Linked DNA regions of Ovis aries. The protein of the gene in region 1 purifies or fractionates together with the protein of each later gene. This does not show direct contact. Links are inferred from orthologs where the notes say so. Each region holds a gene or a part of one and is shown in the gene's direction. Other genes may lie near its edges. The genes, in order: UBXN7, KLHDC3 and NPLOC4.

Evidence for each region.
Region 2: the proteins of UBXN7 (region 1) and KLHDC3 purify together in Homo sapiens (affinity purification with mass spectrometry; 3 studies listed by BioGRID and IntAct, with this or other methods). This does not show direct contact. The link is inferred for Ovis aries from reciprocal best matches to the Homo sapiens genes UBXN7 and KLHDC3.
Region 3: the proteins of UBXN7 (region 1) and NPLOC4 purify together in Homo sapiens (affinity purification with mass spectrometry; 3 studies listed by BioGRID and IntAct, with this or other methods). This does not show direct contact. The link is inferred for Ovis aries from reciprocal best matches to the Homo sapiens genes UBXN7 and NPLOC4.

Annotation. Positions count from the first base shown.
Region 1 is NC_056054.1:191,771,313-191,774,962, reverse strand, and holds part of UBXN7 (UBX domain-containing protein 7), read left to right. Parts: intron 1-2,110; coding exon 2,111-2,257; intron 2,258-3,593; coding exon 3,594-3,650. UniProt on the Homo sapiens protein: Ubiquitin-binding adapter that links a subset of NEDD8-associated cullin ring ligases (CRLs) to the segregase VCP/p97, to regulate turnover of their ubiquitination substrates.
Region 2 is NC_056073.1:16,656,378-16,660,027, forward strand, and holds part of KLHDC3 (kelch domain-containing protein 3), read left to right. Parts: intron 1-135; exon of another isoform or gene 136-157; coding exon of another isoform or gene 158-236; intron 237-2,046; coding exon 2,047-2,194; intron 2,195-2,329; coding exon 2,330-2,396; intron 2,397-2,473; coding exon 2,474-2,578; intron 2,579-2,859; coding exon 2,860-2,934; intron 2,935-3,018; coding exon 3,019-3,136; intron 3,137-3,578; coding exon 3,579-3,650. UniProt on the Homo sapiens protein: Substrate-recognition component of a Cul2-RING (CRL2) E3 ubiquitin-protein ligase complex of the DesCEND (destruction via C-end degrons) pathway, which recognizes a C-degron located at the extreme C terminus of target proteins, leading to their ubiquitination and degradation.
Region 3 is NC_056064.1:50,689,106-50,692,755, forward strand, and holds part of NPLOC4 (nuclear protein localization protein 4 homolog), read left to right. Parts: intron 1-1,475; coding exon 1,476-1,562; intron 1,563-3,499; coding exon 3,500-3,571; intron 3,572-3,650. UniProt on the Homo sapiens protein: The ternary complex containing UFD1, VCP and NPLOC4 binds ubiquitinated proteins and is necessary for the export of misfolded proteins from the ER to the cytoplasm, where they are degraded by the proteasome.

The DNA of each region.
Region 1 (3,650 bases):
TAGCTTATATTTTTATTCAAATTAAGCAAAATTTAGAGAAAAATTAAAAACCAACAAGGAGGGACTTCCCTGGTGGTCCAGTGGTTAGGACTGCACTGCCAGTGTAGGTGTGGGTTTGATCCCTGCTTGGGGAACTAAGATTCCATATGCCATGAGGCACAGCCAAAAAAAAGCAACAAGGAAAAATAATAGTTTCCATTTCCATAAGAAAGTATAGTGCATATTTTAGTATATTTTGTTTTCAACTTTATGCATATATATTTATTGAAATAGATTAAGTTTTCCTCTATATCCTCTTTACGTACTTTTCCAACAGTGTAGGAGGGTTCCCTTACAGCCTCTCCAGCATTTGTTTTTTGTAGATTTATTTATTGATGGCCATCCTGACTGGTGTGAGGTGACACCTCATTGTAGTTTTGATTTTTGATTTGCATTAAAAGTAATTTCTTAACATCTTTCAGTTGCTTTTGCTTATATAAGGCTTCTCCCATTGTAAGCTTTGTGCAGGAAGGGATTTTTTGGTTTGGTAACTGCTATAACTCCAGCATCTATAGCTCTACCTGAAACATGGTAGATACTCAAATGTCTGTTGAATGAATGAATTTGAATGAATGAAAGCATGACTGTGAATAGATGAATTTTTAAAAACAGTAGCAGATAGCTCTCATTGTTTTTGAACTCTGCCTTTTAAAAATTTTTCAGTGTTACGTGGGGTTTTTTTGTTTGTTTTTTGGGGTTTTTTTTTGGTCAGTGTTGCAGTTAAGGCAGACTTAGTAAATTTACCTTATAGGGATGTGTACTATTTAGTCTGTCCCTCTAGAATGTTTTTTCTTTCTTCTCAAATACTTTTCTTCAGTTAAAGCAGTATAATTACTCACTTACCACCCATTTTTTAAATCCACATGCTTGCTATAGGCAAGGGATTAAGTGGAATACTATCACTTCCTAGAAGCAAGGAGTTATTAGATTTTATATACTTAAAAATAAGCTTTTGACCGGTTAATTGTAGCTTTCTGGCTCATTATAAAGCTACTTCCTTTTAGAACTTAGATTTTCACCTTTGGAATCAGTAATGAATATTATAAAATTATTTTCTCTGGAAGATGTGTATAGAAAAGGAGAATAACAATTTTTTAAGATTGTGTAAACCTGCTTATTAAACAGAAGATAGTCTTACGTTTTCCAATACCTCCGAAATGATACATGTTCTTCAGTTATTATTAATCTGAGTTTTAGCTGATTCTTAAGACTTTCCCATGTCACACTGATTTGGGGAAAAAATATATTGTTTCTCTGACAAAATCATTTAAAAGCTATGACTTCCATGTCATTGTTTCTATAAGAGGGTTTGAGGTAGCTTTTGCTCATTTGCTTTTCTTCCATCCTTTTCCAGTTCAGTAATATTTCTTAGATCAATGTTGTGATAAGGCAATGTAAGGGAAAAAAAAGTACACACTCATAACTGATACTTGTGCTGTAAATTGGAGAGTCTTTTGGAGATCATTCTGAAACATCCTTTCATCTGTAGTTTCAGTTTTTAAACACACACCTAGGAAAACAACCCTGAGAGAAAAAATCCTCAGCAGCTTCTAGTCAAAGATTCATAGAGTGAATCTATAAAATGCCATGTGCCTAATAATTGAGATGAATATGATATTTGGAAATGTATGTAAAATGATGTTGAAAAAAATAACAAACTAATACACACATACTGGTTACAGTTATTAAAAAGAAGAGGTATATTTTTGGATAGGGATTAGTAGAGAAAGCACAATAGAATCGTACCCTTGTTTGTGGAATCTTTTTCAGGTGAAGAGGTTTACATGTTTACCAGTGCAATAAAATGCAGCCACTCTAATAAATAACAATGGATAAAAGGAAAACAGTTCATTTAAATTAGAAAAATGCTTGCAAATGGACTGTATAATGTATATACATGTATATATAAGCAAAAATGTAATTAATGTTTATACACAGAAAACTCTAGGTGTCATACTTGAGCAAAAAAACTTAGTATTTACATGGAAAGAAGATAACTTCTGAATTCTGAAACACACCTGTTACCAAGTAGAAACTTTCTAATAATTGTTATGTAACTTTATTCTTACAGGCCAAAGAGTGTGGCCAAATGCAAAATAAGTGGCTGATGATAAACATTCAAAATGTACAAGACTTTGCATGCCAGTGCCTCAACCGTGATGTATGGAGCAACGAAGCTGTGAAGAATATTATCCGGGAACATTTCATTTTCTGGCAGGTGGGGAGAGTTAATCAAACATTTTATAGCATTTTACTTTGGTAGTATGTGGTGTCTAGGAGGAGGAAGTAGGTTATAAGCTAAAAAAAAAACCAGCTGAATTGAATTATTACATATGAAAACATAAAGCCACCCATAATGGGTAAGATAGTAAAGACAAAAGAAAATTAGAGCATCAGTGAAGGGAAGGAGGAAAAAACGGAAGCAAGCCAAAAAAAAAAAGAACCAAGCCATATAACCATATAGTACGCATACTTCAGAAGAATTTTAACATCATTTTTTAACCATCTTGATAAGAGTGTATAGCTGTACTGTTTAACAGAAATGTAATATGATTAAAATTTTATTGTAGCCACATTTTTAAAAGTCAAAAGAAACAGGTAATTGATTTTAATATATTTTAAAAATCAGTATCTGTGATATAAAACTAATGTTAAAATATTGATTGAGGCATTTGGGTTGTGGGTTTGTTTTTTTGGGGGGGTGTTAAGTTTTCAGGATCTAGTATGTATTTTACATTTATAGTATAGCAGTTAGGATTAGTCACATTTCAAATGCTTCAGTAGCGCATGTTCTGGGGGCTACTATAATTGATAGTGCAGATGTAGAAGATTTGAAGGAATTGAGAAACTTTTGTTTAATATGTTGATTTTAGCTTGAGTTTGGTAATCTTTAACTGTATGTCCTTAAATTTGTCACTTAGTCTTTCTGGCTCTGGTTTCTTTTTATATAAATTACCATGCTAACAGTAGGTGATCTTGTTCTAGCACGGATTCAATCTCTGGTCAGGGAATTAAGATCCTGCATGCTGTGCAATGCAGCAAAAAAAATTTTTATAAAAAATAAAAACTTCTGAATTAATTTTTTCCCCACTCTAAGATATGCTGTTAATGTTAGTAATTTGCCAGTTCATTCTTTACAGGCCCCTGAATTCAGTAAGTTTTTTTCTGAACAGTAACCTTTTATTCAGCAACTATTGATTGAGCATCTGTTTGCCTAGAGGTATGCTGGGCACTTGAGTTGATAATCTTAACATATTGTGATTTATTAAGATATGTGTAGTTGAGAATCAGAAGTGACATAGATGGACAGGTGACTTGAAAAGGAAGAACTGGGTCAAGGAGGAAGGATGGATTGCTGTATTTCTGTAAGGGTCAGAAGTGACTCTGAAGGCAGGAAGTGAAGAGTTCACATTAGGTGACCTTCATTTTCTCTGTAGGCAATGAGAGCCTAATATGCCAAAGGTGTTTTTGGAGAATTAATAGCTGTTGGTATATAACAAGGTACTTTTTTAAGAGGCTGATTTTTTTTTTTAATATGTATAATGACTTAACAGGTCTATCACGACAGTGAGGAAGGTCAGAGATACATACAGTTTTATAAGCTAGGGGAT
Region 2 (3,650 bases), on another chromosome or scaffold:
GCCCAGGGAGGGTACCCCGGCCGCCCACCAGCAACCCGCTCTGCCCCGCCCAGGGGTGGGCGGGATCTGCGGTGCTGACACCAAACCTTCCGGAAGGGGCGGGGCGGAAGCCTGCGTGGCGGAAGTAACGCCATTAGTCCAATACGCCGCTGAAGCCATGCCGAGAGCAAGCTACCGTGGCGGGGCGGTTGCAGGGCCTCCCAGCAGGGCTCAGGATGACGGGAGCCTGCAGAATGGTGAGGGCACGGTGCCGGGATGAGGGGAAGCGCTGAGGGCCGGGAGAGGGGCTCCGCGTCTGATGCGGGCTCACCCCGAGACTGCCAAGTTGTCTGAAAGACGCAGACACCGGGAGCGCCCCCCAACGCCCTAGAAAGTGGGGAGTGAGAGGATACTTACTGAGTTAGTTTTTTAAAGGGCAAAGAGGGTTTTTCGCAGGAAGAAAACTTACTTTCCAAAGCAGAGTCAGAAGGGCATTGATTATTGGGGAAGACTTAGGTGAAGATTCAACAAATTTCGCCACTATTGAATATCTATTGTACGCAGGCACAGTTCTAGATGCTGGAGGTACAACAGTGAGTAAAGCAGCCCAAAACTGCTCTCATGAAGCTTACTCTTTGGGGGTTAAAAAAAAGGCACGGAGACCTAAGGAATTGCATATTTTTAAAGGCTAAGTTTTATGGTATGTGAATTATTCTATAGTTTTGAGAAAGGTGATAAGAGCTTTGAAGAGAAAACGGGAGGGGTTATGGTGTTAAGTAATCACAGAAGGCCTCACTGAATAGGTGGTGGCATTTGAGAAACCCTGCGAAGGAGGTAAGGGAGCAAGCAATACAGCTGGTGAAAGTGTTACAGGCAGAGGCCAAGTCAGGTGCAGAGGAACTGAGATGGGAATATACTTGCTTGCTTAGGAACCGCTTGGAGGCCAGTTGACTGGAGAGGAGTAGGAAAGAGATAGTAGAAGAGGAGATCAGAGACAAAATGCGATAGGTCACATGGGATCTTCAGGCTATTACAAACCCAAAGCTTTTACTCTTGAGTAAGATGGAAGCCATTGGGGAGTACGGAGTCTGGAGAAAGTGATCTAAAAAATATGTATGTGGAAATGACATGGGAGCGATAAGATCAATTTGCCTCTTTTTTTGGAAAGAGAAAGCTACTTTATTATTTAAAGAAGTTAAAGTGAAAACTTCATGTCTCTAGTAGTTTCCTTCCTTTTTTAAAAAACAGTTTTTATTGGAGTATAGTTGATTTACAATACTCTGTTTGTTTTAGGGGTACAGCAAAGTGAATCAGTTATACGTATATCCACTTTTTTGGATTCTTTTCTGTATGGGTCATTACAGAGTATTGACAAGAGTTCCCCTGTGCTATACAGTTGGTCCTTATTCGCTATCTCTTTTCTATATAATAGTGTGTATATGTCAATCCCAGTCTGCCAATTTACCCCCTAATCCCAGATTTGCCTTTTAGGCATCTCTCCCATGTTCAGTGAACATGAACTTGGGCAAACTCCGAGAAACAGAGACAGGGAGGCCTGGCATGCTGCAACCCATGGAGTTGTAAAGAGTCAGACACAACTTAGTGGCTGAACACCAACAACTGGAGGCTGAAGTTGAGAGATAGCTTTGAAAGCAGTGAGACTGGTGGTTGGGCGAGCAGTAAGGAGGCTAGAGCCCTAAGTGAGGTGAGATGCTGAGCGTAAACTGAACCAGAATAAAGGTAGCTGAGCAACGAACGGAGACAGAGGTCTTTGTGGGAAAACCTGTGAAAGAGAAATTTAAAAGAGAAGGGGAAAACGAAGAGACTGTGGGTTAGTCCATCTCCAGCCTTACATGTATAGCTTCCTTAGCAAGGTGAGGCCCCAGATAGCTGGAATAGTTGGGGCGTTAGGTGTTAGTGGAGCACCATTACAACCTGTGTTGCCTGGAGCCTGCAGCGATCGGTCTAAAGGGTCACTTACCTAAGGAAGGAGGATGGGGCGATGTCTGCAGCAGTGGCAGATGCTGAGCTGAGTTGCAGTCCCCCCACCCCCACTTCCTTTCCCAGACACATCTCACATGTCATTCGAGGAGCTGTTGGAACTGCAGAGCCAAGTGGGGACTAAAGCCTACAAACAACTGGTAACAGGAAGCAGCACTAAGAAGCAGAGTTGTAGACCACCTGTCCAAAAAGCATGTGTTGCAGATAAGCACAGGTGAGGAGCAAGGCCTTTCCCGGGAGTTGGAGGGAAAGACCCCTACTTGAGTAGGTGTCTGCTTTCTTGGGTGGCAGGTGGGAGGCCTTTAATGAGACTGGCGTTCCCTTGACCTGTCCTTCACTTTTTCCATAGGCCTCTGGAAATGTCAGCCAAGGTCCGGGTGCCATTTTTGCGTCAGGTTGTCCCCATCAGTAAGAAGGTGAGGCGGAGGCAGTGAGCATTTTCTCAGGGAAAGGAGACAGAACGGTTCTCTTATATTCTCTGTTCTCTCCAAAGGTAGCCCGGGACCCCCGCTTTGATGATCTGTCAGGGGAGTATAATCCTGAGGTGTTCGATAAAACATATCAATTCCTAGATGACATCCGAGCCAGAGAGAAAGAGGTGAGTAGCATGCGGCTGGTTTGTGGGGATTCCAGGAGGGACTAGAGCACAGGTTAGAGAAGCAGAGGGGAGCAGGGCGAATCAGATTGCTAGTTGTGTGATCATTGGCAAAATACTTAACCTCTTTTCAGTTCAGTTTCCATATCACAAAAAGCTAATAGTTCCATTTCATAGTGTTACTGTGAGTTAACGTATGTGAACCTCTTAGAATGATGCTTGGCACAAAGTTTCAGGTAACATTTACAGAACGTTAACCATCATACTCATTTTCCAATATGGAGCTGGTGAAAAAGCAGCTGAAGAAGCGCCGTTCAGGGGAGGAGCATGAGAAACTACAGCACCTGCTTCAGCGAATGGTGAGAGGGTCGGAGTATGGGGCGGGAGGTGATTCACAGTCCCTGCCGTTCACCTGTCTCACTCCTCTCATCTCCGCTCCACAGGAGCAGCAAGAAATGGCCCAGAAGGAACGGAAGCGGCAGCAGGAGCTGCGCCTGGCCCTGAAGCAGGAGCGGCGGGCTCAGGCCCAGCAGGGTCATCGGCCATACTTCCTGAAGAAATGTGAGCGGGGCACAGCTACGGCCCACGAGACACAGGGGCAGAGACTGGGTAGCCATAGTGATGGATGCTGTGTTAGGGGTTCCTGGAGCTGCCTAAGGGAGGCATGAAGGCTGGATCCCATGGTAACTTAGAGGAAAGTAGAAACAGTAGTAATAGGAAGTCGTCGTTTGTAACCATTCTCATATCCCTAATGAGACTGTGGGCAGGGAGTGTCACTTATCTTTGTCATGCCCCCTCATATGTTGGGTTGGGCACAGAGAAGGAGCTCATGGTTGGTTGAATTGAGAAAGAGTGGAGTTGTGGAAGTCTGCTTTTACACACCAGTGAACCCCTGATGAGTCACATATCCCTGCGTAGTGGTTAAGAGTTACTGACCTGGGGCAAGGGGAGGCAGGGAGACTTCATCCTTTGCTTACTGATTTTCTTTCTCCTTGCCCTCTAGCTGAGCAGCGCCAGTTGGTCCTGGCTGAGAAGTTTAAGGAGCTGAAACGAAGCAAGAAGCTAGAGAGCTTCT
Region 3 (3,650 bases), on another chromosome or scaffold:
TTTTTTTATAATAAACCAGGGTCTGGAACTGCAGGCCTTGTGGCCTGTGCAGTGTGTAGCTCCTGTAGAGATATCAGTTCTTCCCTGGCTATATTTACACAGATTGTGTGTCGTCTACCCCCTTGACATTCTTGTTACTTTTTGAGAGCCACAGAGGAACTGTTGGACCAGGCCTTCTGTGATGGTTCACTTGTAAGGAGATGGAAGATGGCAGTAGGTGCTCACCCAGGAGACCCTGCTTGTCCAACCCTTCAGGTGCTGAATGTGCTCTGTAAGCAGGATCTGCTTTTGGAAGCACATGATGTTCCAGTTCAGCTTTGAGGAGGGTCCTTTCATGAAGTAGTTTAACAGTTCTGTTTAGAGTATGATTGAACAAAAAATGGAATCAGAAGCCTTTGGCGTCGAAACTACTCACAGCATCATCAGAGCTCCCAAATTGGGGATCCTGGAGGTTGAAACATGTGACCTCTAATAACCTCCAGCTCATTAGAAGTTGAAGCTCATGATGCCACATGTCATGAAACAAAAATCCTTAGGTTTGTTCTGAGTTTGTACTTTGAGCTGTGCTCTGGGTGTAGTAATCATCTCCATATGGGTCATACCCAGCAACATAAAGTTCTTTTGTTATTTTGCCAGGATTTGACTAATTTACAAGGATATACCCAATTAGCATAACTCAATTTGGAATTACCTTCACTTTCCTGTTTCATAGCTGTGTCTTCTGCTCAGTATGATGCTTAACTTATGAGCTGCATTTTGGTGCACATTAAAGATTTCAGCATGCTTTGTCTGCTGCAAGAAGTGGAGTCCTGTGGCCAGTGTAGGTTGCATGTGAGCCAGCCCAAGCCCCCCACTGCCCCAAGCTGAGTCAACAGGATACCCACTTCAGGTGCCCTTTTGTTGGCTTAGAGTGTGTTTATCTTCTGTGCTCTCTTATTCTGCCTTGCCCATGAAGCTAAGCACTGTCCCTGTAGAAGTTGTATGCAGGTTGCTAAGCACTGTCCCTGTATAAGTTGTGTGCAGGTTTTCCAAAGCTGTTTTTTCTGGGAATGAATGTTACTTTGTAACTCTAACCTTGCCTAATCTAGCCAAGTTTACTTGGAGTTAAACTATTTATCCAAGGGAGTTTTGAAACTAACTTCTATTCCAAACCAAGGAATCTTAAGGTGTAGAGAGCCTTCTCTAGTCCTGAACAACCACACGTTTCATGTGGAGCTGCTAACGTGAACCAGCCTGAATATTGCCTCTTCCATGTTCTCTGAATCTTGATCAAAAGCAAAGCCGAGCCCTGGAAGGAAAGAGCCTGGAGGGCTTGGCTTGTGGATCTGATTGAGCTTTTTTTACTGTTGAAAATCTCCTGTTTGGCAAGGGAGATTGGTGCTCCTTTGTGACAACCAACCAGAAATGGAGCAGAGCTGCTTGCTGCTTTTCTGAACTCCTCCTCTGAATCCGCCTTCTCTTTAATACCCCCACAGATTGGTACACAGAATAGCTTGGAGCTTCTTGAAGACCCAAAGGCCGAGGTGGTTGATGAAATTGCTGCCAAACTTGGCCTGAGGAAGGTACTGAGACTGTTTTTCCTTGAGGGAGGACCTGGGCTCTGTGTTGGGGACATCTAGGTGTGTTGCGTAGCCAGGCCTGATCCGGGACTGAACCCCCAGCTGCTCAAGGTCAGATGCAGGCCCTGCACGTTTTGAAGCCTCGCTTGTATTTATTGGGTGCCTAAAAAAGGATGCCAGTGTAGGGACTATTATGTGTAAATCCACCAGACATACTTCTTGCGGATTGCCTCAAAGTGGGCCAGGAAAAGCAGCAGGAGCAAGACCCCTACTTCTGCTGCAGGGGACCTGACACCAGGCTCTGTGTCCCACCTGCCTGCTAAGGCACATCCTTCTGGGTGTGAGCTCTCCCTTCATGTGTCTGTCTGCACCGATCATTTTCTCTCCCCTGCACTTGGAGATTCTGGTGGTTCCTCTTCAGTCCTCATTGAACCTCCTGTTTGTAATTGAGGCATCTGAGCATATAAGCCTTGCTAGTTTTCTGGGCAGTTAGAAGACAGAGGGTTTTCTCTTTGAACCTGTTCATCTAGTTTATCTCACATCTTTGGTAGAGTTCCTAGGAACTATAAAGATGACTTTTTATAGATAATGTTGAAATGTGAATTTGAACACATCTTAAAAATTCACTATTAATAGCTACGTAAGTTTTATCCTTTGTTTCCTAATCAGTTTAGACAGAGAGAAAAAGACTCTGTACAGATAAATGGGGGAAGACTGGAAATGTGCCTTTTAACCCAGGAATGCTATGGAGCAAAGTTACTACTTCATTTTAAGAAAAAAGACTCCTGTTGTTTCTAACAAGGAGTCAGTATCATGATTTAGGGGCGTATTTTGGTTTAAATTCTGAAAGTTTCTCATGTTGAAAAGAGAAATCAATGTTTTTTTTTTAAACCCATTTTTGTTATAAATGTTTGGTTCGTGGTAGACTAGAAGATCTTGAAATTACTTAAATGCCTTTCTCGAAACACTAATTCCTTAGCCCTTATCTCAGCTTGATTTTGATTCTGTTTTGTTTAATGGTTAAATTACATTTATCCCTTAAGTCTCATTTTCTCCATTGCCATCCTCCTTGGGAGTTTTGTTCATTTGGACATTTTTAAAGAAAATGAAAGCCTCTTGATTTGGCTGGTCATGTCTGCAGGAGATGGAGTTGAAGAGTTTCATGTCAGGGTTGTACTGGAGAGGGTCACAGACACCAGGTCACTTCTTTGAAGGACTGAAATAGGTGTGTATCTGGATTCCATCGCTGCTCTTCGACCTCCCAGCCAGGTTCTGGTTCAGGAAGGGTAACCAGCTGTGAGATTCATGGGCACAGGAGGGCCAGGGTTCACAGAGCGCATAGACAGGCACTGTTGCTGTAGCAGGACGTGCCAGGAAGGCTGACTATGCCGAGGTCTGGGATTGGCGTTTCAGATTCCTGTACCTTCAGATGCTTCCTTCAGCCCTGCACTGGCGCTCAGAGAAGCAGCTGGGTGAAGTCTCTGTTGTGTGTTTTCTTTTATTTTAAGTGCATTCTCTAGGGAGTATGTTCTCCTGTCTGGAGAAAGCCCTAGCATCTGGAGCGGCACTGTCTGTATTTGCTTGCTCGTTGTTTCTCCAATCCCCTTTTCACTGATACTCTGTTAGTTTTGTCCATCCCAGAGTCCCCTGCACCTAGTACAGTGCTGGGCCCAGAGATGGCGCTGAGTCTTAGTTTCTAACACATAAATGAGCTTTGCTCCTTTGCTCTCGTCTCCACCCGGCAGCATCAGGGGGAGTTCAACCAGTGTCAGCTGAGTACTGCTTGAGAACCCTGGTTTGGACAGTGGCTTAGCTGAGGAGCTGACTCACCTAGAAAGAAAGGACTGACTCCCAGGAGTCTCCTCTCTGGGCAGAGGCTAGAAGGCATTTGTCATCTGCTTCAGGGAGAGACTCAGAAGGTACTTTTCTCTCTTATGCAGGTTGGCTGGATATTTACAGATCTTGTCTCAGAAGATACTCGGAAGGGTACAGTTCGATACAGTCGAAATAAGGTGAGGTGGGGTGGGGATGTTTGCTTGGCGGGACCTTGTTACAGACCAGCTCTGGGCCGCACTCTTGGGTATCCCCGCA